7 linked regions of the Macaca mulatta genome follow. The protein of the gene in region 7 interacts with the protein of the main gene of each other region in a biochemical or structural test. Links are inferred from orthologs where the notes say so. Each region holds a gene or a part of one and is shown on either strand. Other genes may lie near its edges. The genes, in order: NDFIP1, JUNB, MLANA, WBP2, UBE2G1, NFE2 and ITCH.

What was found.
Region 1: the proteins of ITCH (region 7) and NDFIP1 form a complex in vitro, tested with the Homo sapiens proteins (2 studies listed by BioGRID). The link is inferred for Macaca mulatta from reciprocal best matches to the Homo sapiens genes ITCH and NDFIP1.
Region 2: the proteins of ITCH (region 7) and JUNB form a complex in vitro, tested with the Homo sapiens proteins (2 studies listed by BioGRID, with this or other methods). The link is inferred for Macaca mulatta from reciprocal best matches to the Homo sapiens genes ITCH and JUNB.
Region 3: the proteins of ITCH (region 7) and MLANA form a complex in vitro, tested with the Homo sapiens proteins (2 studies listed by BioGRID and IntAct, with this or other methods). The link is inferred for Macaca mulatta from reciprocal best matches to the Homo sapiens genes ITCH and MLANA.
Region 4: the proteins of ITCH (region 7) and WBP2 form a complex in vitro, tested with the Homo sapiens proteins (2 studies listed by BioGRID). The link is inferred for Macaca mulatta from reciprocal best matches to the Homo sapiens genes ITCH and WBP2.
Region 5: the proteins of ITCH (region 7) and UBE2G1 form a complex in vitro, tested with the Homo sapiens proteins (2 studies listed by BioGRID). The link is inferred for Macaca mulatta from reciprocal best matches to the Homo sapiens genes ITCH and UBE2G1.
Region 6: of the proteins of ITCH (region 7) and NFE2, one has a biochemical effect on the other in vitro, tested with the Homo sapiens proteins (2 studies listed by BioGRID, with this or other methods). The link is inferred for Macaca mulatta from reciprocal best matches to the Homo sapiens genes ITCH and NFE2.

Annotation. Positions count from the first base shown.
Region 1 is NC_133411.1:150,996,407-150,999,906, forward strand, and holds part of NDFIP1 (NEDD4 family-interacting protein 1), read left to right. Parts: intron 1-1,123; coding exon 1,124-1,248; exon of another isoform or gene 1,249-1,370; intron 1,371-3,500. UniProt on the Homo sapiens protein: Activates HECT domain-containing E3 ubiquitin-protein ligases, including NEDD4 and ITCH, and consequently modulates the stability of their targets. As a result, controls many cellular processes.
Region 2 is NC_133424.1:13,346,065-13,349,808, forward strand, and holds JUNB (transcription factor JunB), read left to right. Parts: upstream 1-1,402; 5' UTR 1,403-1,703; coding exon 1,704-2,747; 3' UTR 2,748-3,244; downstream 3,245-3,744. UniProt on the Homo sapiens protein: Transcription factor involved in regulating gene activity following the primary growth factor response. Binds to the DNA sequence 5'-TGA[GC]TCA-3'.
Region 3 is NC_133420.1:93,446,887-93,450,386, reverse strand, and holds part of MLANA (melanoma antigen recognized by T-cells 1), read left to right. Parts: intron 1-1,937; coding exon 1,938-2,051; intron 2,052-3,500. UniProt on the Homo sapiens protein: Involved in melanosome biogenesis by ensuring the stability of GPR143. Plays a vital role in the expression, stability, trafficking, and processing of melanocyte protein PMEL, which is critical to the formation of stage II melanosomes.
Region 4 is NC_133421.1:85,558,515-85,562,014, reverse strand, and holds part of WBP2 (WW domain-binding protein 2), read left to right. Parts: intron 1-1,122; coding exon 1,123-1,215; intron 1,216-1,861; coding exon 1,862-1,996; intron 1,997-2,174; coding exon 2,175-2,297; intron 2,298-2,805; coding exon 2,806-2,882; intron 2,883-3,014; coding exon 3,015-3,068; 3' UTR 3,069-3,500. UniProt on the Homo sapiens protein: Acts as a transcriptional coactivator of estrogen and progesterone receptors (ESR1 and PGR) upon hormone activation. In presence of estrogen, binds to ESR1-responsive promoters. Synergizes with YAP1 to enhance PGR activity.
Region 5 is NC_133421.1:5,863,291-5,867,557, reverse strand, and holds the start of UBE2G1 (ubiquitin-conjugating enzyme E2 G1), read left to right. Parts: upstream 1-1,467; 5' UTR 1,468-1,806; coding exon 1,807-1,852; exon of another isoform or gene 1,853-3,093; intron 3,094-3,449; exon of another isoform or gene 3,450-3,558; intron 3,559-4,267. UniProt on the Homo sapiens protein: Accepts ubiquitin from the E1 complex and catalyzes its covalent attachment to other proteins. In vitro catalyzes 'Lys-48'-, as well as 'Lys-63'-linked polyubiquitination. May be involved in degradation of muscle-specific proteins.
Region 6 is NC_133416.1:61,486,179-61,490,268, reverse strand, and holds the start of NFE2 (transcription factor NF-E2 45 kDa subunit), read left to right. Parts: upstream 1-1,290; 5' UTR 1,291-1,411; intron 1,412-3,851; 5' UTR 3,852-3,907; coding exon 3,908-4,021; intron 4,022-4,090. UniProt on the Homo sapiens protein: Component of the NF-E2 complex essential for regulating erythroid and megakaryocytic maturation and differentiation. Binds to the hypersensitive site 2 (HS2) of the beta-globin control region (LCR).
Region 7 is NC_133415.1:87,186,656-87,190,805, reverse strand, and holds the start of ITCH (E3 ubiquitin-protein ligase Itchy homolog), read right to left. Parts: upstream 2,801-4,150; coding exon 2,654-2,800; intron 2,590-2,653; exon of another isoform or gene 2,566-2,589; coding exon 2,410-2,565; intron 1,944-2,409; coding exon 1,853-1,943; intron 1-1,852. UniProt on the Homo sapiens protein: Acts as an Acts as an E3 ubiquitin-protein ligase which accepts ubiquitin from an E2 ubiquitin-conjugating enzyme in the form of a thioester and then directly transfers the ubiquitin to targeted substrates.

The sequences.
Region 1 (3,500 bases), on a different chromosome or scaffold from region 7:
TACAAAAATTAGCTGGGTGTGGTGGCAGGTGCCTGTAATCCCAGCTACTCAGGAGGCTGAGGCAGGAGAATCGATTGAATCCGGAAGGCGGAGGTTGCAGTGAGCTGAGATCGTGCCATTGCACTCCAGCCTGGATGACAAGAGCGAGACTTCGTCTCAAAAAAAAAAAAGCAGAGGTCAAAGCCAGGGCACAGTGGCTCATGCCTGTAATCCCAGCAATTTGGAAGGCTGAGGTGGGCGGATCACCTGAGGCTAGGAGTTCAAGACCAGCCTGGCCAACACGGAGAAACCCCGTCTCTACTAAAAACAAAAATTAGCCGGGCATGGCTGTGCACACCTGTAGTCCCAGCCACTCGGGAGGCTGAGGCAGGAGAATCGCTTGAACCTGGGAGGCAGAGGTTGCAGTGAGCCAAGATCATGCTACTGCACTCCAACTTGGGTGACAGAGTGAGACTCGGTCTCAAGAAAAAAAAAAAAAAAAGGAAGCAGAGGTTGTAAGTATATAGTTTGAAGACTGTTAAGGTTTGCTTTTTGTTTTTTGCTGTTTTTTGTTTTTTGTTTTTTTTCCTTTTGAGACAAGGTCTTGCTCTGTTGCCCAGACTAAATTTGGAGTGCAGTGGTGTGGTCACTTCTCACTGTACCCTTGACCTCCTGGGCTCAAGTGCTCCCCCCACCTCAGCCTCCCAAGTAGCTGGGACTGCAGGTGTGCACCACTGTGCACCACTGTGCCCAGCTAATTTTTTTTCTTTCAGTTTTGTAGAGATGGGTCTTACTGTGGTGCTCAGGCTGGTCTCAAACTGCTGGGCTCAGGGGATCCTCCCACATTGGCCTCCCAAAGTGCTAGGATTACAGGTATGAGCTACTGTGCTCAGCCTGTTAAGGCGTTTTTGAAAGTAACTAACAGTAGACATAATTGTGTAAAACCTGATAGGGAGGAATTTTTCTTGTTTGCTTTTTGGGGAAAGACAGAGAAGAATGGTTGTTTTAGAGGAGGTATGGTGAGGGTTGTGGAGGACAGGCTTTTATCCTTTGGAAAGTCATTAAAACAGAGGCAGGTGTAAGGCACTCTTGTTCTTGGGTAACAGGACATGTCTAACATCTTTCCCCTCCTCTGCTTTTGCAGTGGCATTCCTCTTTAACTGGATTGGGTTTTTCCTGTCTTTTTGCCTGACCACTTCAGCTGCAGGAAGGTATGGGGCCATTTCAGGATTTGGTCTCTCTCTAATTAAGTGGATCCTGATTGTCAGGGTAAGTTGTACAACAGAAAAGATGGGCTCTACAGAGGGACAATAATTAGAATATTTTTGAATATTTGATTTTTCATTTGCTTTTTTAAAAGTTATTTCAACGTGTTAAATGATTTTTAGTTTGTCTAAAAAATGATGAAGCTGAACCAAAATCATTTGCAAATGGTTCATGCACACAAGTTTTGTTGTCAAAGCTATTGAATACTGGTCTAGTATTAATATTGTTCACCATCTGCTTTCTTTGTTTCTGATGTTTATAATATGATAATGTATATGTTCTGAAATTAGTTGTTTTTATAATAAAAGGAAGGATATTTACCCCTTTGATGTCTCATCAAAAGCAGCCATTCCTCTCATTTCTGTTACAGTTTTAATCTAGCTCTCTCTCTTCTTCCTTCTTTTCTTTTCTCCTTCTCGTCCCCTCTCCCCTCCAGGATTGCTTATGCCAAAATGTTTGGGGAGCCAAAACTGTTTAACAAGTATTGCTCCATTAGGAGCCTACCTCTGAAGTAAATTATAGAGATGTATGTCTTTAGTGACTTAAGAGTTGCCAGTTAGTTAAATTTGCATGAAGTAATTTTTTTTTTTTTTTTTTTTTTTGAGACGGAGTCTTGCTCTGTCGCCCGGGCTGGAGTGCAGTGGCCGAATCTCAGCTCACTGCAAGCTCCGCCTCCCAGGTTTACGCCATTCTCCTGCCTCAGCCTCCCGAGTAGCTGGGACTACAGGCGCCCCACCTCGCCCGGCTAGTTTTTTGTATTTTTTAGTAGAGACGGGGTTTCACCGTGTTAGCCAGGATGGTCTCGATCTCCTGACCTCGTGATCCGCCCGTCTCGGCCTCCCAAAGTGCTGGGATTACAGGCTTGAGCCACCGCGCCCGGCCTGCGTGAAGTAATTTAAAGTTGTAAAAGATCTAGGCTTTTAAAGTGTCCCCTGATTTCAGATACATTTATTGCTATCATCAACCTTATAAACAAAAACAATTTATCCATCATAAATTGGCATACTTAACTAATGGGTGTTGCTTGACCACTGTAGTTTTTCTAAGTAGTGCCACCTTATTTATTATAAAACATTTGTTAACGTTTTTAGGGTTCTAGAATCCTTTGAGAATCTGATGAAAGTTATAAGCTTTTCCCCCACATAGCTAATATGTACTAATCTATAATAATGGACTTTAGGTTAAGAACTCAAGCCCTAAAGAGGTTTTCATTCCTTCCCTAAATCTTAATTGTTACTTTATTAACAAATAAAATGCTATATTTTAATTTTCAAACTACATTAAACTCTTGGACACCAAAGCCTCCAAGGAAAAGAGAAATAAAATTAATTCCAGTCTTTTTTTTTTTTTTGTAACTAAATTTTCAACTGCATTTACAAAGTGGATTAAATGGGCTGCGCGCGGTGGCTCACGCCTGTAATCCCAGCACTTTGGGAGGCTGAGGCGTACAGATCACAAGGTCAGGAGATCGAGACCATCCTGGCTAACACGGTGAAACCCTGTCTCTACTAAAAAAATACAAAAAAAATAGCGGGACGTGGTGGCGGGGGCCTGTAGTCCCAGGTGCTCGTGAGGCTGAGGAAGGAGAATGGCGTGAACCCAGGAGGGGGAGCTTGCAGTGAGCCGAGATTGTGCCACTGCACTCCAGTCTGGGTGACAGAGTAAGACTCCGTCTCAAAAAAAAAACAATTAATCAAATGAATTAACTTGTATCAGTTAGGATGCTTTTGACTGTGAGTAACAAAAACCTAGCTCAAAATGGCCTAGAAAAAAATTTTTAATTGTTATTTTAAATGGGGAAAGTTTATTTCCCCTGAAAACAAGTCCCTGACAAGGAGGTTAGTTAAGTCAGTGGCTATTGGACATCATCAAGGTCAGCTGACCTATCAGCATATTGGCACAGATCCCCCCATGCCCTCAGGGTTAAAAGATGGCAGTTTCATGTATCAGTATTACATTGAAACACAGCAGTGCTCAAGAGAAGAAAAAGAACTATTTAAAAAAATTTTTTTCTACCACCTTTAGAAAGAACTGTTTTTTCTCTAAGAGCCAGGAAAGCTTCTCAGAAGCCCTCAACTTCCATTGGTCAGAATGGCATCCTGTGCCCATTCCTAAACCAGTTGTCAGCAAAGGAAGGGGATTACCCTGGTATAGATGATAAAGCTTCCAAAGTCAAGACAAGGCTGGAGGAGTAGGAACAAAGTCAGGCCTCCTTAGAAAGAAGGCAATGATATCAGCTACTCAGGAGGCTGAGG
Region 2 (3,744 bases), on a different chromosome or scaffold from region 7:
CCCGCCGTCGGGCCAATGGAACAGTCCCATGTTGCCTGCCTCCGCGGTCCCCTGCAGGCGCCGCGGGCGGAACCATTGCTTGAGGGGAGAGGATGGTGGCTGGAGGCTTCCGTGGCTGGGCAGGCTCCACGCACCCGGGCCTCCGCGGGGGCTCGCACGCCCAGGTTCCTCTTCCGAGGCGCAGGATGCGGTGGGACCCAGGGCGGGGCGCACGGTCCCGTAGGATCCAAGTGACGGAGACAGGGCCGGGCTCCTTCCCCCGGGGCTGTTGCCACACTTCCTGCCTCGGCGCTCTTTCCCCAGCCTGTTTCTAAGGAAGGGAGTGGGGTTGGGCGACCGCGCCCCAGCCGTCGGGCTGGGTCCAGGCTCCAGGAGCCGACACGGTGTCGGGCAAAGCCCAGGGTCAATAGGGGAGAGTTTTAGGATGGGGGACAGAGAATACAGATGCCTAGGAGGTTACCCACGAGGGGGAGCACCAGTCGTGGAAGATCCAGCAGTCCTGGTGCGCAGGACCCTCAAAGCCCCCTCCTCGCATGTCAACTGAGTACCCTCTTATTGTCTTCTCTGCTCCGAAGATGTGTCCGGACCCTTCTGACTCTCTCCTTCATCCGGGCTTCGCAGATGACCCCAGTGGTCACCAGTTTCTGGCAGACTTGTCTCCATCTTCTACCCTGCATATTTTACCTGCCTCAGTGTACCGCAGGACGCTTACTCGCTTTCTGCATACCTAGATTTCCCCTAATTCCTCCTTCCCAATTACGGGAGAGCCCTCAGACCTTCCCATGGGCTCCTGGACCCTACTCATTTCTTTCAATTTAATGGGTCGTGCAGCTCCGCCCACTCACCCCTTTTGATCTCTCCCCTCCTCCATCCTGTGAAAATTCCAGCCCCGCATCCTTCTATGCTCGGGACCCCCAGTCAATTCCTGGGTCAGGTGTCTCCTTACCCCTCCCGATTTACCGTGCTTAACCCTCATTCCTGCTTTTTGGGGTCTCCCAATGAATTGTCCTACCCCTCTCGTATTCTGGGTACCTCAGGGGTTTCTTCGCACACCCTGAGATCCTCAACCTACTTGCTGCGTACCAGGTCCTGGTATTTGTCCCAGTGGACTTCAATGAAATCATCCTCCTCCCTGAAACCCCTCACTCATGTGCCTGGGCCCCCAGGCCTCCTTCCATGCGTACCCCGGGGTCCTTTGAGCCCCTCCCCCTGCAGGCCCGCCGAGCCACCCGGCCCGTGGCCGCTGTTTACAAGGACACGCGCTTCCTGACAGTGACGCGAGCCGCCTCCTCCCCTTCCCCACGCTCGAAGAGGGGGGCGCGGGGGCCCGGCTTCGGCGACGGCCAATCGGAGCGCACTTCCGTGGCTGACTAGCGCGGTATAAAGGCGTGTGGCTCAGGCTGAGCGGCTGGGACCTTGAGAGCGGCCAGGCCAGCTTCGGAGCCAGCAGGGAGCTGGGAGCTGGGAGCTGGGGGAAACGACGCCAGGAAAGCTATCGCGCCGGAGAGGGCGACGGGGGCTCGGGAAGCCTGACAGATCTTTTGCGCACAGCTGCCGGCTGGCTGCTCCCCGCCCGCGCCAGCCCCCGAGAACGCGCGACCAGGCACCCAGTCCGGCCACCGCAGCGGAGAGCTCGCCGCTCGCTGCAGCGAGGCCCGGGGCGGCCCCGCAGGGACCCTCCCCAGACCGCCTGGGCCGCCCGGATGTGCACTAAAATGGAACAGCCCTTCTACCACGACGACTCATACACAGCTACGGGATACGGCCGGGCCCCTGGTGGCCTCTCTCTACACGACTACAAACTCCTGAAACCGAGCCTGGCGGTCAACCTGGCCGACCCCTACCGGAGTCTCAAAGCGCCTGGGGCTCGGGGACCCGGCCCAGAGGGCGGCGGTGGCGGCAGCTACTTTTCTGGTCAGGGCTCGGACACCGGCGCGTCTCTCAAGCTCGCCTCTTCGGAGCTGGAACGCCTGATCGTCCCCAACAGCAACGGCGTGATCACGACGACGCCTACACCCCCGGGACAGTACTTTTACCCCCGCGGGGGTGGCAGCGGTGGAGGTGCGGGGGGCGCAGGGGGCGGCGTCACCGAGGAGCAGGAGGGCTTCGCCGACGGCTTTGTCAAAGCCCTGGACGATCTGCACAAGATGAACCACGTGACACCCCCCAACGTGTCCCTGGGCGCTAGCGGGGGGCCCCCGGCTGGGCCCGGGGGCGTCTACGCCGGCCCGGAGCCACCTCCCGTTTACACCAACCTCAGCAGCTACTCCCCAGCCTCTGCGTCCTCGGGAGGCGCCGGGGCTGCCGTCGGGACCGGGAGCTCATACCCGACGGCCACCATCAGCTACCTCCCACACGCGCCACCCTTCGCCGGTGGCCACCCGGCGCAGCTGGGCTTGGGCCGCAGCGCCTCCACCTTTAAGGAAGAACCGCAGACCGTGCCGGAGGCGCGCAGCCGGGACGCCACGCCGCCGGTGTCCCCCATCAACATGGAAGACCAAGAGCGCATCAAAGTGGAGCGCAAGCGGCTGCGGAACCGGCTGGCGGCCACCAAGTGCCGGAAGCGGAAGCTGGAGCGCATCGCGCGCCTGGAGGACAAGGTGAAGACGCTCAAGGCCGAGAACGCGGGGCTGTCGAGTACCGCCGGCCTCCTCCGGGAGCAGGTGGCCCAGCTCAAACAGAAGGTCATGACCCACGTCAGCAACGGCTGTCAGCTGCTGCTTGGGGTCAAGGGACACGCCTTCTGAGCGCCCCCTGTCCCCTTACGGACACCCCCTCGCTTGGACGGCTGGGCGCACGTCTCCCACTGGGGTCCAGGGAGCAGGCGGTGGGCACCCATCCTGGGACCTGGGGGCGCCGCAAACCACACTGAACTCCCGCCCTGCGCCCAGTCCTTCCACCTCGACGTTTACAAGCCCCCCCTTCCACATTTTTTTGTATGTTTTTTTTCTGCTGGAAACAGACTCGATTCATATTGAATATAATATATTTGTGTATTTAACAGGGAGGGGAGGAGGGGGCGATCGCGGCGGAGCTGGCCCCGCCGCCCGGTACTCAAGCCCGCGGGGACATTGGGAAGGGGACCCCCGCCCCCTGCCCTCCCCTCTCTGCAACGTACTGTGGAAAAGAAACACGCACTTAGTCTCTAAAGAGTTTATTTTAAGACGTGTTTGTGTTTGTGTGTGTGTTTGTTCTTTTTATTGAATCTATTTAAGTAAAAAAAAAAAAATTTGTTCTTTATTAATTTCTGTTGTCTTTTTTTCCAAGCTGGGAGGGCGGAGGGAAAAAAAAGCACTGGTGTGCCCCCAGCTCAGTGCTGTTGGTGGCTCGGTCCTGTATGTGTCCCCCTCGTCGGCTCTGCGCAGGCATCTTGTGGTCCCAACCCGGGAGTCCCACCCTTCCCGCGTCCCCGAATCTCCAGGGTTGGATGGTTGGGGCGCGGGACGCAGTCCAGGGACACAGTAGCTGAAGGCAGGGCGCTGGGGGCGAGACGCGGAGCGCGCAGGCGCGGCCCCGCCCAGCAGTGCGCGCCGGGGCTTTCCCCGCTGACGCAGCGGAAGCGTTGCCCATACAAGGACCGATTCTGCCCAGTGACGCGACCGCGGTCTCTGGGCAGATTCCGGGAATCCCCTCCCCCGCTCTGCCGGGCAGGGCCGCAGCGCCGGGAAGGGGGCCGGGATTTTCCCGGGCAGGCGGCTGCCCGGGCACGGAAAGCCCCAGGCCTGGGTCCAGAGGGCCCGCGGT
Region 3 (3,500 bases), on a different chromosome or scaffold from region 7:
TAATTATTTATATTTTTAATAGAGACGGGGTTTCACTGTGTTAGCCAGGATGGTCTCAATCTCCTGACCTCGTGATCCGCCCGTCTCGGCCTCCCAAAGTGCTGGGATTATAGGCATGAGCCATCATGCCCCGCCTTACACTTCTTTTTTACTTTTTTTCAGTGGTTTCCCTAGAGTTTGCAACAAACATTTACAACTAATTCAAGCCCACTTTCAAATAACACTATACCATTTCATAGGCATTATGAGCATCTTAAAATAAAATAATCCTAATTCCTTCCTCCTGTAAACTAAAAACAAAACCTACATCCTCCAACCAACTGAATGGACCCCCTCTTGGCCAAGGGGACCCCAGGGAAACCTGAAAAACTGAGTCTTGGCCATGATGGGAAGGGAGATGAGAGATGCCTCATTATACACCCTCCCTTTTAGAGTTTTAGTTACAACTGACTAGCATTAATTTTAAAATAGAGATTATAGGACTGACAGAATTAACTCTTTGTGGCAATATCAAATTAGGAACAAGACAATGCAAGGAAAGGGTTAAATCACGCCCTTCAAACCATAAAATGTTGTTTTTTAAAAAAATTAACCCTGTATAATGTGGTTTACTTTCCAAATTGACTCTGGTATAGCATCACGTGACAGACTGCAGACTCCCTTATCTTAAGCATTCCTTTATACTGACTTCAAGTCTTAAGACAGAGCTGAACTTTCAACCAACTGCCAACTAAAGAATCCCTAAAACTCACCTGTGACTTGTAAGCCTCTGCTTTGAGATGTCCTGCCTTTTCAGGCTGACCCAAAATATACCTTCTGTGTATGGATTTATGATTTTTACCTACAATTCCTGCCTTCCTGAAATGTATAAAACCAAATCATAACCCAACCACCTCAGGCACACTTTCTCAGGACCTCTTGAGACTGTTCTCCTGGCCATGGTCATTCATATTGGCACAGAATAAACCTCTTTAAAATATTTTGCAGTTTTTTTCTTTCTGTTAACATTCCTTTCCCTTGTATCATTGCTGTTATTCATTTCAAGTGTATATAAGCATACACAATTAAATACACTGTAGCTATTATTCATTTTTGAACAAACTATTATCTGTTAAATCAACTAAGATGAATATGTTGGGTACAGTGGTGCATGCCTGTAGTCTCAGCTACTCAGAGGCTTAGGCAGGAGGATTGCTTGAGTTTAGGAGTTTAAGACCAGCCTGGGCAGCTTAGCAAGATCATGTCTCCTAAAAAAAAAAAAAAAAAAAAAAAGAGAAAGAAAGAAAAAGGAAGTTTTGGGAGGCTGAGGCAGGAGAATTGCTTGAACCCAGGAGGCAGAGGTTGCAGTGAGCTGAGATCACGCCATTACACTCCAGCCTGGGCAACAGAGTGAGACGCTGTCTCAAAAAAAAAAAAAAAGTTTTTATTTTACCTTCACTTATTCATTCTTGGATGTTCTTCCTTTATGTAGATACAAGGTTCTGACCTATGTTATTTTCTTTTTCTCTAAAGAACTTCAAATGTTTCTTGCAAGGCAGGTCTACTGGCAACGAATTCCCTCAATTTTTGTTTGACAAAGTCTTTATTTCTGCTTCACTACTGATGGATAATTTCATAAGAGTGTTCCTTTTGTAGATTCAGTCTTCTTATCCTTCCCTTCAGAAATATTCTTTGACCACCTATTGGGTCCCAGGCACTGCACTAGAGCTTTACCTCTAGTTAATTCCCACAACAATTTTGAGAGGTAGGTGGGTATTATCTTCCTAGATGCAAACTCAGAATTCAGAGAGGCAAAGTGATAAGACTGAAGGCACACAGCAAGTAAGTGGCAGAACCTAGATTAAAACTCATTCTTAAAACTTTGGCTTCCCTTCTCTTTTCTAAAATGGATTCAGTTACTTCTTCTTCCCACTCACCTTTATCAATTTACATTTCAGGATAAAAGTCTTCATGTTGGCACTCAATGCGCCTTAACAAGAAGATGCCCACAAGAAGGGTTTGATCATCAGGACAGCAAACTGTCTCTTCAAGAGAAAAATTGTGAACCTGTGGTAGGTTGAGATCCTTCATAAGGGTATTTTCATGAATGGCTGTTTTTAACTCAAGTGAATACAATGATTTCCATTTAAAAAGCAAGAACAATGTGAATGTACTCGTTGCCACTGAACTATATATACCTAAAAATGGTTAAAATGGCAACTTTTTTGTGTATTTTATGAGAATAAAAAATAAATAATAATAAAAACAAAAAACAAGGGAAGCACAGGGATTTTCTTAAATTGTGTTGTCACATACCCAGAGTTTCCAGGGTCAATAATGAGAGCCCTACATGTAAGATCCAAAGGAAGAACTTAGTCCTGGATACAATATTCTTTTATGTTTTTAGTCATACTTGCCTTTTTAATGGATGTAGATATATGCAGAGGGGAGGGATAAAGTACCTATTATTTATTGTATAGAGCTGTGCTGTCTGATGGCTTAGCCACTAGTCACGTGGTGCAACTGAACACTTATAGGAGTTTAAAATAAGATGTATTATAATACATACCATATTTCAAAGATATTAGTATGTGGAAAAGAAGATAAATGGTTCATTAATTATTTTTATATTGATTCATTTTGAAATAAATATTCTGATAATATTAGGTTAAATAAAACATTTTAAGATTAATTTTACATGTTTCTTTTTTTAAATGTAGCTACTAGAAATTTTAAAATTACATATGGCCGGACATGGTGGCTCACACCTGTAATCCCAGCACTTTGGGAGGCCGAGGTGGGTGGATCACCTGATCTCAGGAGTTCAAGACCAGCCTGGCAAACATGGTGAAATCCTGTCTCTACTAAAAATACAAAAATTAGCCAAGCGTGGTGGTGCACACCTGTAATCCTAGCTACTCTGGAGGCTGAGGCAGGAGAATCACTTGAACTCAGGAGGTGGAGGTTGCAGTGAACCGAGATAGTGCCACTGCACTACAGCCTGGGCAACAAGAGTGAAACTCCATCTCAAAAATAAATTAATAAAATAAAATTAAATTACGTACCATATTTCTATTGGACAGCACTAGTACATATACAACACAGTATAATGGTTGAGAGCACTGACTCTGGAGCCAGATTACTGTGTTTGATTCTTACCTCAACAACTTACTAGTTGTGTGACAATGGGCAAGCGAGTTAACCTCTCTGTGCTCTGGTTTCCCATTCTGTAACATGAAAACAATAAAAACACTCCCAGAATTGTTGTGAGCATTAAATGAAGCCCTGACACATTTATTCTGGATACAATATCCTCTTGTTTTATATTTGGTAGTGTCAATGTGCCTTTAGACACAATTACAAGGATCTCTGTGGTAAAGATGCAATGTATATAGTGTCGGTAAATAGCATTCAGTGATTTGTTTGTTAGGGCTTGAGATTTTTACTGTCATGGAAAATCCAGGTATAGCTAAGCTTTTGAGATTTTGGGAACCCCTTAACCCTATTTTTCTCTACTCTTG
Region 4 (3,500 bases), on a different chromosome or scaffold from region 7:
AGAGCTGGGGAAAATGCTGGCATTAAAGACGGCAGCTTGGCCGGGCGCGGTGGCTCAAGCCTGTAATCCCAGCACTTTGGGAGGCCGAGGCGGGCGGATCACGAGGTCAGGAGATCGAGACCATCCTGGCTAACACGGTGAAACCCCGTCTCTACTAAAAAATACAAAAAACTAGCCGGGCGCGGTGGCGGGCGCCTGTAGTCCCAGCTACTCGGGAGGCTGAGGCAGGAGAATGGCGTAAACCCGGGAGGCAGAGCTTGCAGTGAGCTGAGATCCGGCCACTGCACTCCAGCCTGGGTGACAGAGCAAGACTCCGTCTCAAAAAAAAAAAAAAAAAAAAAAAAGACGGCAGCTCAGGTCAGCTTTTCAGAGCGTGAAGTCTGCAGAAGCTTGCGGACTGAGTCAGGATGCTTAGTGCGCCTTGGCGAGTGCATACAAATTTTAGACTCAGGAAGGAGCTGCATCAGTTCTTGAGAGGGGCCTTTTCATGAGAGCCAGGAAGAGGCAACTGCCTCTGGAAGCCAGAGTTACCCTGCTTTGGGGCTGGCTTTTTGGCAGGCCCCAGAGACCTCTGCACTGAACTTGCCTTCCCCTTGACAGGCAGCCAGGCCCGCCCTTGCTATTGAGCGCTCTTGGTCCCTCTTTGGGCAGAAGCCAAGCTAGAAGGGCTGGAGTCTGTCCTTGGACCCCCTTAGGATGAGAGGTCTGCTCTGAATTTCAGGGTCGGTTGTTGTCGAGTGGGCTTGTGCCTGTGCAGCTGCCGAGTGCTTGACTGGGGGTGGAAAGAAACCTTGATGTTAGCTCTAAAACCACACCAAGGTGGCCTTGGCACCTGTGTACATATTGGGCCAGTGGTGGGAGGACAGGCTTGTTTCAGGAAGGAGAGGCCCTTGTTCCAAAGGGGGAAGCGAGTATAGCAGGGCCTGGCCGGGCTGCAGTGCTGGCTCCTATGCAGGCAGCAGGCTGGAAACCATGGCACTGGGAAGTCCCCATCACAGTGCAGGCCTAGCTTCCTGCAAGCCTCCCGGGCGTCGGATGAAGCCCTGGAGAGGAAAACAGCCATCTCTTGGGGCATCGGTTTTCTTTTTCTGTGGTGTTTATTCGCTGTCCTTCCCCTCTCAGGTGGCTGGGAAGGTTCTGCTTCCTACAAGTTGACTTTCACGGCAGGGGGCGCCATTGAGTTTGGACAGCGGATGCTCCAGGTGGCATCTCAAGGTATCCAGGCTCCGAAGATTAGGGGCTGAGGACACACTGAACATGTAGGGGTTTGGTTTGAGTTTGCTTCCTTTTTTTTTTGCTTTTTTAAACATTCAAGAGGTAAGTGTCTGGGCACTAGGCTGAGCAGGCCTAGGAGTTGGGAAGGAAAGCTGTCATTGGCGTGAGCTCTGTCCTGTACCTCAGAGGCTGCGTTTCCCTGCCTGGAGCAGGTGGATCACATTTTGACAAAGCTGTTTGGACTCAAGGACACTTTACTATGGCCCCATAAAACAAACCCCAAACCAACCATTAAACTGCGGTTTTGCAGCCATTGAAAATGACCGAGGGATGGGCCCAGCAGACATCCTCCGCCAGCTCACTCCTACCCCAGCCCTGAGCCTCCCTCCTGGCCTCCGTCCACCCTCCACCCTTGTCCTTGACCTCCCTTGCCTTCCCCTGGCTCTGACCTCTCCTGTCCTCTCTCATCACCCCATCCCTGACCAAGGCAGCCCCGAGTGTGGGTGGAGAGTGGAGTGGGGTGGACAGAGCATGTCTGCTGGGCACACTCCTGGGCCCCAATAGCTCCCCTCTGCAGGCAGTGGGACCGCCCTCTCCCCGCCCCAAGGCAGGCCACACTCATTTCTCTTTCCCCTTGTACTTGTAGCCTCCAGAGGTGAAGCCCCCAATGGAGCCTATGGCTACTCTTACATGCCCAGCGGGGCCTATGTCTATCCCCCGCCAGTCGCCAATGGAATGTACCCCTGCCCTCCTGGCTACCCCTATCCACCGCCCCCGCCTGGTGAGTGTGTCCTTTGCTGCCCACCCTCCCCTCATGAGCCCGCCTATCCAGGCTCCCCCAGGCCAGGGAGGCTTCATTCCTTGAGCTGCTTCAGGACTAACAGGATCTGGAGAGGCCCCCCTCAGAGGGGGCCGCAGCCGGGTGCTCACCGGGTCCCTGTTGCTCTCTTGCCGAGCAGAGTTCTATCCAGGACCCCCCATGATGGACGGGGCCATGGGATACGTGCAGCCCCCACCACCGCCCTATCCTGGGCCCATGGAACCTCCGGTCAGCGGCCCCGATGTCCCCTCCACTCCTGCAGGTGAGGGCCTTTGGGTGCTGGCAGCCCTTCGGGACCAGCCCTCTCCTCCCCAAGGTTGCACAGAGAGCCTCAGAATGGCCAGAGACTGCTGAGAGCCGCAGATGATGGATGACCCCTGGACTACCCCAGGGGCCCAGCAGGGCCGTGGCCTGGTGGTGCGGAGCTAGATTCTGGCCCCACCCCCATCCCTTAGCTACCCACATGGCCTGGGCAGGGAATGTCACCCTGTGTGCCTCGGTCCTCTCATCCTCTCATCTACACTCAGTTGGTCGGTCACGGTGGCACCTGGGGGGTTGGCTCAAGGATTAGATGAGGTGAGACATGCGATGGGCCTGGAAAGGACCATGCCAGCACGTGGCCCATGCTCAGGAAGCCTCACCTGCTGCTGTTATTGGCGGAACTGGACCCCCAGCACCAGCTGCCCCGAGCCATGGGGACCCAGGGTCTCTGGGCTAAGCTCAGGGGGATGAGAACTTGTCACTGACACTGGGTGTGTTTGCTCTCACAGCCGAAGCCAAGGCCGCAGAAGCAGCCGCCAGCGCCTACTACAACCCAGGCAACCCTCACAACGTCTACATGCCCACGGTGAGAGAGCGTGGCAGTGCCAGTGGCAGTGCCAGTACAGCCCCGCAGCCACAGATGCTGGGAGCCACAGGGGGAAGACTGCGCCATGTTTTAAACCTTCTAACGCGAATTTTCCCTTTCTCCCTTCTTTAGAGCCAGCCGCCACCACCTCCCTACTACCCACCGGAAGATAAGAAGACCCAGTAGGCCCTCCTGCCTCCCTGCCTCCCACCCTTATCTCTGTACCCTACCCCTCCCATTGGGGCTGCACTGGGGCTGGGGGAGGGGGCGCCTTGTTCTCCCTCCAGGTCTGATCATAAACAATTACCAGGAACTAGCATTGTGGGACATTAGGGCCCCCGGCCTCAGGAGAGGTGCCGCCCAGCTTCCATGCCAGCCCAGAGCCCACAACGCTGCCCAGTGTGCCTCACTCACTGTCTGGGGCTCTCCTGGGAGCATGGGGCATCCCCTGTTCCTGTTTCACTCTCAGCTTCTCCCCTCGAAGGGACTCTCTGGCCACCTCCTCCACCGCAGTCCAGCTCCCTCAGTCTGGCAGCCACTGCTACACTCAGCCTCATGAGCCACTTCAGACCAGCCAGGTGTCTTCCCCGGCCCTGCCAGGCCCTGCTCACATTCCCT
Region 5 (4,267 bases), on a different chromosome or scaffold from region 7:
GTAGGAATAGAAGGAAATCTCCTTGATTTGTTAAAGTGAAACATCAAAATTGTCCCTTTGGTCTATTTGATAGGGAGGCAGTGGTTCACATCTGTAATCCTAACACTTTGGGTGGCCGAGTTGGAAGGACTGCTTGAGCCCAGGAGTTTGAGACTAGCCTGGGCAACACAGAGAGACCCCTCTCTCTCTCTCTTTTTTTTTTTTTTTTTTTTTTTGAGATGGAGTCTCTCTCTGTCCGCCAGGCTGGAGTGCAGTGGCACCATCTCAGCTCACTGCAACCTCTGCCTCCGGGTTCAAGCAATTCTCCTGTCTCAGCCTCCCAGGTAGCTGGGAGTATAGGCGCCTGCCACCAGGCCGGGCTAATTTTTGTATTTTTAGTAGAGACGGGGTTTCACCATGTTGGCCAGGCTGATCTCGAACTCGTGACCTCAGGTGATCTACCCGCCTTGGCCTCTCAAAGTGTTGGGATTACAGGCGTGAGCCACCCCGCCCCGCCGAAACCCCCCATCTCTATAAAGCAAATAAAAAAGTAGCAGGGCATGGTTGTGTGGTGTGTACCTGTAATCCCAGATACTAAGGAGACTCAGATGGGAGGATCCCTTAAGCCCAGGAGTTCCAAGCTGCAGTGAGCTATGATCACTGCATTCCAGCCTGGGCGACAGAAAGAATTGCTGTCCATAAATAATAATAATAACACGGCCGGTTGCGGGGGTTCAATAATAATAGGGCCGGTCGCGGTGGCTCATGCCTGTAATCCCAGCACCTTTGGGAGGCTGAGGCCGGTGGATCACTTGAGGCCAGGAGTTTGAGCCCAGCCTGGCCAACATGGTGAAACCCCATCTCTACTAAAAATACGAAAAATTTGCCGGGCGTGGTGGTGGGCGCCTCTAATTCCAGCTACTCAGGAGGCGGAGGCAGAAGAATCACTTGAACCCGGGAGGCGGAGGTTGCAGTGAGCCGAGATCACGCCACTGTACTGCAGCCTGGGCGACAAAGCGAGATTCGGTCTAAAAAAAAAAATCTTTTTGTGCACTCTTCATGTAAAGAGAATTATCAGCATATATTGCCTCTATTTTGGTGTTTGGTTAAAATGGGGCACACCAGTACTAACTTCGGCTTTCTAACAATTCCTAATTCGCACACCATGTGGCAGTGTTAGATGGCTTTTGGGCGCTCGCCAACGACAAGACATCTACCACTTCTTTTGGCCCCTTCGCTCCCATATCCATTACTTCAATCCAGATGCTGTATTTGACCCTCCGCGACCTCTTTGTCATGGCGTCCGCGGGGCGTCTACCAGCGGAGACTTGGGCTGGCAGCCGGGCGTCGACCTTCCCAAAATGGCGACGACAGGGACAACTGCGCTCAGGGGGCGGGGTTCCGCCGCCGGGGGCGGGGCGGGAGGCCGAGGGGTCGGGCTAGCGAGCGGGACGCTTCCCAAGTCGGCTGTCTCAGCGCGCCTGCGCCGAGCGGCCCTGCGCGCAGTGAGGCAGTGGCGGGGGAAGGCACCGGTGGGGCCGACGGGCGGGTTGAAGGAGGGAAGCGGGCGAGCGAAGTCCCAGTGCGCGCCGCGGCAGCCCGGGCACCCTCCCCTTCCGGGCGTGAGTCGCTGTGAAAAGAGCTGAAGCGAGCGGACTCGCACCGGCAGCGAGGCGCCGCTCCCGCCGCCTCAGCCCGGCCTCCCTCGGCTCCGGCGCTCCGGTCGCGGGGCCCGGGTTCCTCGGCACACCCCGCTCCAGCCGCCCCCAGAGCCTGTCCCCAGCCCTTCGGAAGCCCCGGCGCCAGCCCGGGCCCTCGGCGGGGAGGATGACGGAGCTGCAGTCGGCACTGCTACTGCGAAGACAGCTGGCAGGTGAGCAGGCGGGCGGCGGGCCGCCGGGCTCGGCCGCGATCGCAGACAGCCGCTGCTCGGTCCCTCTTCTCCTCCTCCCGAGCCAGCGGCCGCACGGCCGAAGGGGTCCGGGCCTGCGAGGGTGGGTACCTCGAGGCTCCGGTCCCGGCCGGGCCCAGCCGTTCTCGCCTGGCTCTCGGAGGGCATTGGGGGCGGGGACGCGACCCAGCTCCGGGCCGGGGACCGGGCCTGGCGCCCGGGGGATCGGAGAGGAGGCGGCCCCCCTCCCCCACCGTTCTGTAGGACGTTGCGGGGGAGGGGCTGTGTGCGGATCCCCAGGCCGGGGCCGCCAGCCTGGAGGGGCGGGTCCCGGGCTCAGGTGCTGCCGGGGTCGCCGGACCTTCGGGGCCGGCTGGAGCGTCCGGGCCCAGCGTGGCTGCGAGTCCCAGGCTCGGTGTCTGAGCCGCAGGGGGCGAGGGCGGGCGGAAGGGACCTGCCCTGGCGGGATAGGTGAGGCGCACAAAACTTCTCCCCGGGCGGCGCTGGGTCCGCGGAGTTGGGGCCGACAACAAAAGCGCCGGCCTCGGCGGCCTCCACGCGGGCGCGCGGGTGCCGGAGACCCTGGCGGGGTGCGGAACGCCGCCTCGCCTGCCTCCGCCTGGCACGGGCTCCGGCTGCGCCGCCCGGCTGGGGGAGGGTAGGAGCGGGCCGCGGGAGAGCCGCTCGCTGGCCGGCTCCGGGCTTTGTGCTCGCCGCGATTCCTGCTCCTGCGCAGGCCCGCAAACCCCGGAGCTGCGCCCGCAGACTCTGGCCCGGGGCGGCGGCCGGGTCGGCCTCTCCGAGGAGCCTGCGGCCCCCCTCCCCCATTGTCCCGGCCTCCGGCCGTTTGCGGCTTCCAGGTTGACTTTTTAGGGGGTTGGCTCCTACTCTGCTAGGACTGTGTGCGCAGAGCATGCGCACTGGAGACGTCCGTGTGCGGAGTGGAAGGGGGGAGGCGGGTTGGTGGCTTCACAATGCAGCCCCACGTGCTGCCAGATTTAAAGAGAAATGAACCAGCAGTTACCCCTGCTGTACAACGCCCGGCGTGTGTCATTCTCAGTTCAAGCGATCTTCCCCCTACCCACTCTACAACCAGTAGCCTCCGGCCCTCAGCAGAAGCCAAAGACTGGAGTGATGAAATCTGTCTTTGAAATACATTTACTAAGAGTTTGAGGTGTTCGTTAAATCACCTTTATAGCTTCTTAAGGAAAAGATTGTCAGGGGTTCTTACAGATAGTATAATTGGGTTTATTATTAGACCATGAGCAAGCAGGTTTGGACAAGTATTAAAGTTCTAGATGCTCGGGGGAGTTCGCTTCCAGTGAATGGAGAAGTTCTAATGATACTACAGGATACTCATCAAAATTATGTACTGGAAAAGCACTGAGGCCGGGCGCGGTGGCTCACGCTTGTAATCTCAGCACTTCGGGAAGCTGAGGCGGGCAGATCACCTGAAGACAGGAGTTCAAGGCCAGCCTGGCCAATGTGGTGAAACACCCGTCACTACTAAAAATACAAAAAATTATTCGGGCGTGGTGGAGGGCGCCTGTAATCCCAGCTGCTCGGGAGGCTGAGGCAGGAGAATTGCTTGAACCCGGGAGGCATCGCTGCAGTGAGTTGAGATCGCCCCATTGCATTCCAGCCTGGGCAACAGAGCGAGACTCTTCAAAAAAAAAAAAAAAAAAAAGAAGGGCCGGGCGCGGTGGCTCATGCCTGTAATCACAGCACTTTGGGAGGCCGAGGCGGGCGGATCACGAGGTCAGGAGATTGCGATCATCCTGGCTAACATAGTGAAACCCCGTCTCTACTAAAAATACAAAAAATTAGCCGGGTGTGGTGGCGGGCGCCTGTAGTCCCAGCTACTGGGGAGGCTGAGGCAGGAGAATGGCGTGAACCCCGGAGGTGGAGTTTGCAGTGAGCCGAGATCGCGCCACTGCACTCCAGCCTGGGCGACAGAGCGAGACTCTGTCTCAAAAAAAAAAAAGAACTTTATTGCATCTTTTTTTAAATTTTGAGGCAGAGTCTCACTCTATCACCTAGGCTGGAGTGCAGTTGCGTCATCTCGGCTCACTGCAACCTCCGCCTCCTGGGTTCAAGTGATTCTCCTGCCTCAGCCTCCCGAGTAGCTGGGATTACAGGCGCGCACCACCACGCCCGGCTAATTTTTTGTATTTTTGGTAGAGGCGGGTTTTTACCATGCTGGCCAGGCTGATCTCCAACTCCTGACCTGGGGATCGCCCGCCTGGGCCTCCCAAAGTGTTGGGATTACAGGCGTGAGCACCGCGCCCGTCTGCATCTTGACATTTATAAACACCTTTTCTGTATACTTTTTTGTTTGGAGGAGGGAATTAAGATTTCCCCAATTCTTTAATCAGAATAAGTTTTATGTGGTGAATT
Region 6 (4,090 bases), on a different chromosome or scaffold from region 7:
AAACTTGCTACTGCACCCAAAAGCTGGTTGGAATGGATCCAGAGGTTCTCCTCAACTCTCTCCCCTCCAAACTCCTGCCTCTCCTTGCTCCCCCCCGCCCTTTTTTTTTTTTTTTTTTGAGACAGAGTCTTACTCTGTTGCCCAGGCTGGAGTGTAGTGGCATGATCTCAGCTCATCGTAACTTCTACCTCCCGGGTTTAAGCAATTCTCATGCTTCAGCCTCCTGAATAGCTAGGATTACAGGTGTGCACCACCAGACCTGGATAATTTTTGTATTTTTAGTAGAGATGGGATTTTGCCATGTTGGCCAGGCTAGTCTCAAATTCCTGACCTCAGGTGATCCACCCACCTTGGCCTCCCAAAATGCTAAGATTACAGGCATGAGCCACCACACCCGGCCACTGAGGCACTTTAAAATGCTGATTCCTGGGTCTATGAATTAAATTCAGTAGATTTGAAGTGGCTTTCAGGAATCTGTGTTTTTACATGTAGCCCAGGTGAATGTGGCACACAATGAAGTTTGTGACTCCCTGAGCTAGATGCAACCTACAGCCTTTCACAGCAATTGGTTTCTAGTCCTGTCTCCATTTAGGGAAGGGACTGAATGAGAAGCAATTTGCCCAAGGTCATGTATCCTTTTGTTTGTTTGTTTGTTTGTTTGTTTGTTTGTTTCAGTGTTTCACTCTTGTTGGCCAGGCTGGAGTGCAATGGCATGATATCGGCTCACCGCAACCTTGCCTCCCTGGTTCAAGCGATTCTCCTGCCTCAGCCTCCCAAGTAGCTGGGATTACAGGCATATACCACCATGCCCAGCTAATTTTGTATTTTTAGTAGAGACAGGGTTTATCCATGTTGGTCAGGCTGGTCTTGAACTCCCTACCTCAGGTAATCCTCCCACCTCCTCCCAAAGTACTGGGATTACAGGCGTGAGCCACCGCGCCTGGCAAGGTCATGTATCTCAAGTGCCAGAGAACCTAGGTCTCCTGCCTCCTAGGGCAGGACCTTTGTACTGCACCTTAGAGTCAGATCCAAGAAGATAAAAGGAGAGACAAATACGGGGTGGGGTGGGGTGAGTGAAGAACTATGAAGCAAGAGTCATTGTCTCTGCCCCCTAAACCCCTTCTCCATTCACTTTGCCTTTGGGCAATTTCCGCCAGAACCTGGGTGGAGGAGGGTGGGGTTCCGGTGTTGAAATGGCATCCTGGACAGACATAAACACCCCACCCACTCTGCCCACTGGCAGAGTTGCCTACACCAACTCCCATCTCTGGGGATGGCAGTAAAACAAGGGGATGGAGGCAAGAGCTAGGGGAGATACTCTTTTAAAAGCATCATTTGTAGTTCCTACTAATTTTGTCGTAAGTTGAAGAGAAGATTCCAAATTAAATTGCTGTGCTGGGCCATCCTTGTGGTGAGTGATCTAAGGTCATGCAATTTGAGATCATACAATCCTATCCTCTGTCCTTCTTTTTCTTTTCTTTTTTTTTGAGACAGAGTCTCGCTCTGTCGCCCAGGCTGGAGTGCAGTGGTACGATCTCAGCTCACTGCAACCTCCACCTCCCGTGTTCCAGCAATTCTCCTTGTCTCAGCCTCCCAAGTAACTGGGATTACAGATGCCCACCAACATGCCTGACCAATATTTGTATTTTTAGGAGAGACAGGGGTTTCACCATGTTGGCCAGGCTTGTCTCAAACTCCTGACCTCAGGTGATCCACCTGCCTCGGCCTCCCAAAGTGCTAGGATTAGAGGTGTGAGCCACCGCACCTGGCCTTTTTTTTTTTTTTTTTTTTTTTTTTTTTTTGAGACGGTCTTGCTCTGTCACCCAGGCTCGAGTGTGGTGGCACAATCATGGCTCACTGCAGCCTTGACTTTTCAGGTTCGAGTGATCCTCCCACCTCAGCCTCCTGAGTAGCTTGGACCACAGACGTGTGCCACTATGCCTAGCTAATTTCTGCATTTTTAGTGGAGATGGGTTTTTACCATATTTCTCAGGCTGATCTCAAACTCCTGGGCTCAAGCGATGCTCCCACCTCGGCCTCCCAAAGTGCTTCCCCTCTCCCACGTTTCCTTCATCCTAGCCTGCTTCCCTTTACTAATATGGCAGGGTACGTCTGTGTGCGTGCACACACACACAATGTGTGACCGTAGAGATCAGGAAGACCTTGCCAAATCTACTTGGAGTCTCTTGCTGACGGCAGGGAAAACAGATGCAAGGAAGGTGGGTGTCAGGGAATAGGGAGGTAGCATGAGGAGAGGGACTGACAGAGAGAAGATAAGGACACGGGTGAGGGTTTGCTGAGAATTCTAAGCTATCCAAGCAGAAAGGGACCTCCAAGGTCAATTTGTCCAACTCCCTGGTTTTACAAATGAGGAAACAGAGGCCCAGAGAAGTGAGATGGCTTGCTCAACATCACACTGCTGCTTTGTGGCAGAGCTGCAACTAGAACCCAGGTCAAAAGAAAAGGGACTGGATGGCAGTGTGTATTCAAGGCTCTAGAGGGACATTGCCCAGAAGGAGAAAGAGAGACTGACACTCCACAGAAAGAACTGATGAATGTAGATTTCCAATAGAGGTTTGGAGTATGAAGATACAGGGGCAGGAGGGGAAGATGCCTAGAAGAAATTATAGTCAAGTGGAGTCAGGTTCTAGACCTCATCCTGCTATTATTTATCAGTTTCAGTCTCAGCTTCTGATGTACCTTTAGAATCTTTGTGAAAACCAGTCTTTTTTTTTTTTTTGAGACAGAATCTAACTCTGTCACCCAGGCTGGAGTGCAATGGCGCGATCTCAGCTCACTGCAACCTCCACCTCCTGGATTCAAGTGATTCTCCTGCCTTAGCCTCCTGAGTAGCTGGGACTACAGACATGTACCACCCCATCACACCCAGCTAATTTTTGTATTTTTAGTAGAGACGGGGTTTCACCATGTTGGCCAGGCTGGTCTCGAACTCCTGACCTCAGGTGATCGCCTGCCTTGGCCTCCCAAAGTGCTGGGATTAGAGGCCTGAGCCACTGCACCTGGTGAAAACCAATCTTATAAACTAAGCTTGCAACATCAAGCTTAGTTCTTAACAAGTGCTTACTAAGTCTTTACTAAGGTTGTTGTATTACCTCAGAAGAGGAAAGACTTCTGGTTGTGTGGGTTAAGGTATGGCCCAAATGACCCTGTGAGGACACAGGACAGAGGTCCAGTGTCTCCAGAGCCCATTCCTTCTGTGCCTCTGCCGCCTGCAGCTGATAAACCTCTTATCTGGCCCAGGCAGGGAAGCCCAGGGCCAGGATAGGAGGAGAGGGCAGAGCTGCTATCAGCCACCAGGCCTGGGCCATATCTTCGAGAGGGGGAGGGGCTGTCTGCTTGGCTCTTTCCACAACATGCTCTTGGGGATCCTGAAGCATATACTGTCATCATCTTGGAAAGAAAAGGCTGAGAACTTAAAACTGAGGACAGAGGAGGAAAGCAGGGTGACCCCTGATGTTGCCCTAGAAAATGAAAAACAAAATACAGGAAAACAGAGAAACAGAAGATCTGACTCTGCCCTTAGCCAGGAAAACAGTTTGGGGGAGTGAAAAGTAGGGGAAAGAGTGGGCATTTTGCCTGGAAAAAAGGTAAAGACCTTCTGTGCTACCAAAGGAACTGACTGTGGCCATAGTTGGCGAGGTGGAGATCATACCACAGGAAAAGATTTTCCGTCTTAAGGGATTGGTTGATGAGTCCAGCATGAGTGAGGATGGGGAGGAGGCAGTCTCTCCTTCCCTCAGGGGAAGCTGGAGGGAGCCCCTCCAAGGAGGTAGTGCAAACTTGCTGATCCTAGCAGGTGTAGCTCTAACACCTCTTTTCCTTTGACACAGGTTTCCAGAGCCATCTGGGCTTTCCAGGAACCTGGACCAGACTCTGGCCCAGTAGGATGTCCCCGTGTCCTCCCCAGCAGAGCAGGAACAGGGTGATACAGCTGTCCACTTCAGAGCTAGGAGAGATGGAACTGACTTGGCAAGAGATCATGTCCATCACTGAGCTGCAGGTGAGTAAGGGCGGGATAGGGTGGGGAGAGCGTGTGTCAGAGAAGAGAGAAGCAGGGAGTTGACCTGGA
Region 7 (4,150 bases):
AAAAACTTGTTCACAAATGTTTATAGCATTTTTCATAATATCCAAAAAGTAGAAACAACCCAAACATCCCTCAACTGAAGAATGGATTTTTAAAATTTGGTATACTCATACAATAAAATATTATTTAGCAAAAAAAGGAATTAAGTAATGCTACATGCTACAACAAGGATGAACCTTGAAAACAGTCTGCTCAAAGAAGACACAAAAGGCCACACATTGTACAATTCCATTTATATGCAAGATCCAGAATAGGGAAATCTAGAGACAGAAAGATCAGGAGTTGCCTGGGTTTGTGGGTGGATGGGTTAAATGGAGAGTGACTGCTAATGAGTACAGGGCTTCTTTCTGGAAGGACAAAAAAATATATATATATATTTTTGAGACGGAGTCTCGCTCTGTCGTCCAGGCTGGAGTGCAGTGGCCGGATCTCAGCTCACTGCAAGCTCTGCTTCCTGGGTTTATGCCATTCTCCTGCCTCAGCCTCCCAAGTAGCTGGGACTACAGGCGCCTGCCAGCTCGCCCGGCTAGTTTTTTTTTTTTTTTTTTTTTTTGTATTTTTTAGTAGAGACGGGGTTTCACCGGGTTAGCCAGGATGGTCTCGATCTCCTGACCTCGTGATCCGCCCGTCTCAGCCTCCCAAAGTGCTGGGATTACAGGCTTGAGCCACCGCACCCGGCCAAAAATATTTTAAAGTTGATTGTGGTGATGGTTGCACAACTCTGTGAATGTACTTTTGGGGTTCAGAAACTGATATCCCAAAATATGGTGCTTTGACTCGTTGAACTAAAGGAGTCTCTCAAGATCTCTCTGACCCCTGCAGCATCCCTCCCTCAATCTTCTTTCTCTCAAAGTACAGCATGAAGTTGTTTTCTGAAGTTCTCTTATCTGCCTAAGTCCAGATCCACCAAAGAAGGAAACAATTACAATTACCTTTGTTCCTTCCTTGAGTTTTCAATAACTAAACTTATATAGCAGGAATATAAAGACTGAAGTCTTTTTTTTTTTTTTGAGATGGAATCTCGCTCTGTCGCCCAGGCTGGAGTGCAATGGCATGATCTCGACTCACTGCAACCTCTGCCTCCTAGGTTCAAGCGATTCTCCTGTCTCAGCCTCCCAAGTAGCTGGGATTACAGGTATGCACCACCACGTGCAGCTAATTTTTTTTATGTTTAACAGAGACGGGGTTTCACCATGTTGGCCAGGCTGGTCTCAAACTCCTGACCTCAGGTGATCCGCCCACCTGGATCTCCCAAAGTACTGGGATTACAGGCGTGTAATCCCAATAAATGGGTAACCTGTAGGGGATATGAATTATATCTCAATAAAGCTGTTAATACAATACAAAACAAACAAAATAAGCAACTACCCAGGTGCCCATGTTCAAGGAAAAAAAACTGTAAAATATCCAAGAATATTCTACAATAAAAATTACTATCTGTATGTCTTCATTCATTCATTCAGCAAATATTAATTGAGCACCTGACATGTAACAGCCATTAAATATTTTGTTCTCTTAAGATTTTTTTTTTTTGAGAGTCTCACCCTATCACCCAGGCTGGGGTGCAGTGGCGCAATCTCGGTTCATTGCAACCTCCACTTCCCAAGGTCAAGCGATTCTCATGCCTCAGCCTCCGAAGTAGCTGGGACAGCAGGCGTGCACCACTACGCCCAACTAATTTTGTATTCTCCATGTTGGCCTGGCTGATGTCAAACTCCTGGCCTCAAGCGACCCGCCCACCTCAGCCTCCCAAAGTGCTGGGATTACAGTCATGGGCCACCATGCCCGGCCCTCTCAGGATTATTTTTTAATCACATGGGGAAAAATAAAGCTGCCGATGTTTCTAAAACTTACCAGTGATCTGAAGCTGTGATTTCATGGTGAGGCTACCCATTGAACCAAGTTGTGATCCACTGTCAGACATACCACCAATAGGTTGGAAAACCTGAACATGGCAAAGGAGGCAGTGTAAACATCAAAAATTCCCATTAAAAACGTACGTAAATAGTGCTAACCTGGCTATTACTGAAGACAGTGTAACAAAGGCCTTTACATTGCTAAACACAATTTTCAATTCTAGTCTTTATCCTACCTAACTTATTGGCAAAATCTGACAATGCTTGTTAGTACTACAGGGGCCAAGACAAGACTTCCCCTTTGCGCCCAGTGAAGGTTCACTGAAAATCATCTGACAAAAGGCAGGCAGATAAATTTGAGAAAAGGCATACATAACTATTAGCATGCATGAGTCGGGGTGGGGTGGATCACAAAATGATCACCCCATCAAGCAATGGGGTACAGATGATTATAACCTGGAGGATATTACCTATCCAGATAGCTTTAAATATCATCTATATAACATGTCCCAAGCAACTTTATTTACTTATTTATTTTTTGGGAAAAACTCTCACTCTGTCACCCAAGCTGGGGTGTTCTGGAGCGCCTCCCGGGCTGGGGGGTCCTTCTGCTTCAGCCTCCTGAGTTGCTGGGACCACTGGTGCACACCACCACTCCCGACCCAGGAGGTAAGTCCGCAGTGAGCTGTGATCACACCACTGTACTCCAGCCTGGGCAACAGAGGAAGACCCTACCTCAAAAAAGAAGAAATAAGATACAATAAAAAATAAAATTAAACTAAATATACTTGGCACTTACTGTTTGCCAGGTACTTTTGTAAGAAGTACACAAATACAATAAGGCAAACAAAATGCCTTGAAACTGTAAACGCTGTCTTGAGTTTTTATGCAAATTTAGGTTTCCGTTTAAAAATTTAAATATAAAACAATTATGATGGCTTCTCATTTCTGCAAAAATGAAATGGAACAATAATTAATTCCTACTGAGATGAACCCTATAAAATCCAACCTACCTCATTCTGTGCTTACATACAAAAATGCTCGAAGCTAAAATTTGGTCTCAACCATAGGGACTAGCTCATTTTCTTGGCATAATACATATATTTTTTCCTTTACCTTGTTTATTTAAATTGCACTATTTCAAATGAGATGTTTTATAAACAAAATCTGCTAAAAGAACCCTTTTATTTTAAAAATGAAAGGTAAACAGCATAAAGTCATTAGTAGTCATCCATAATATATTAAGAAATGAGATGTAACCTAAAAGCCTTTTAACACCATATTGCACAAGATATTATTCTGATTCAAATGGCTTGTTATGAGAAGGGTCCTCAAAGACATTATAACACATTATGTACACGTATTACTCCCTCCTCAATATCCAAAAGCCTGTTTGCCATAGAACGACAATATCAAAAAAAGTAAATTAAGGGGCAGTGAGAAAAGTCCAATATCTAGGTGCTGATATTCTGCATGATAAAGGTACTCATCTCCATCAACAGTCACTCATCTCCACTAACGATTTATTGCAAGAAAATGCCCTTTCTAATAGTACAGTATAAACTATTCTAAATATAAATTTACATTAATTACAAAGTCGCAAAAAATTTTAGATCTCTACAAAAATGAAGTATATTTTAAAAACTAAAATTAACTTCATGTAGAAAAGATTAATGAAAGCATAGCCTGCAAATATTTTTAAGAACAATGACTCTCCAGATAATTACAGAGAATCATTATGGTAGAATTGTGAGGTGCTCTGCCAAAAACATGCTAGTAATTTCAATAATTTATGTACATATACATACTAGTTTTACATAACTAAAATTCACCAAGCATTTTAAATTCTTGAAAAGAATAAAAATTGCTATTTGCATAATATCAAAAAATTAGAAGCAACCTATATTATCAATTGGCATATGTTAAATAAATCACATATTCATACCACAGAACAGATTACTATGCAGGTATCAAAATAAGTAACTTATTAATGACTGAAATTGAAAGATCCCAAGAACATCTTTAAAGTTGCAGAATAGCATACATGAGTTGGGGTGGGGTGGATCACAAAATGATCACCCCATCAGTATGTACAGTATGATATTATTTTTGCAAACTAAAACACTATATACTCCTATGAGTACAAATACTTATAAATAAACACAGAAAAAGTATACATTCCATTGAGGAGGAGGGCACCTGTGTACTCAAGTAGGTGGTCACAGGGAACTGCAGTTTTGTATGTATTGTTTGAAGTTCTAGAAGTGAAACATGTATCATTGTTGACTTGTACAAT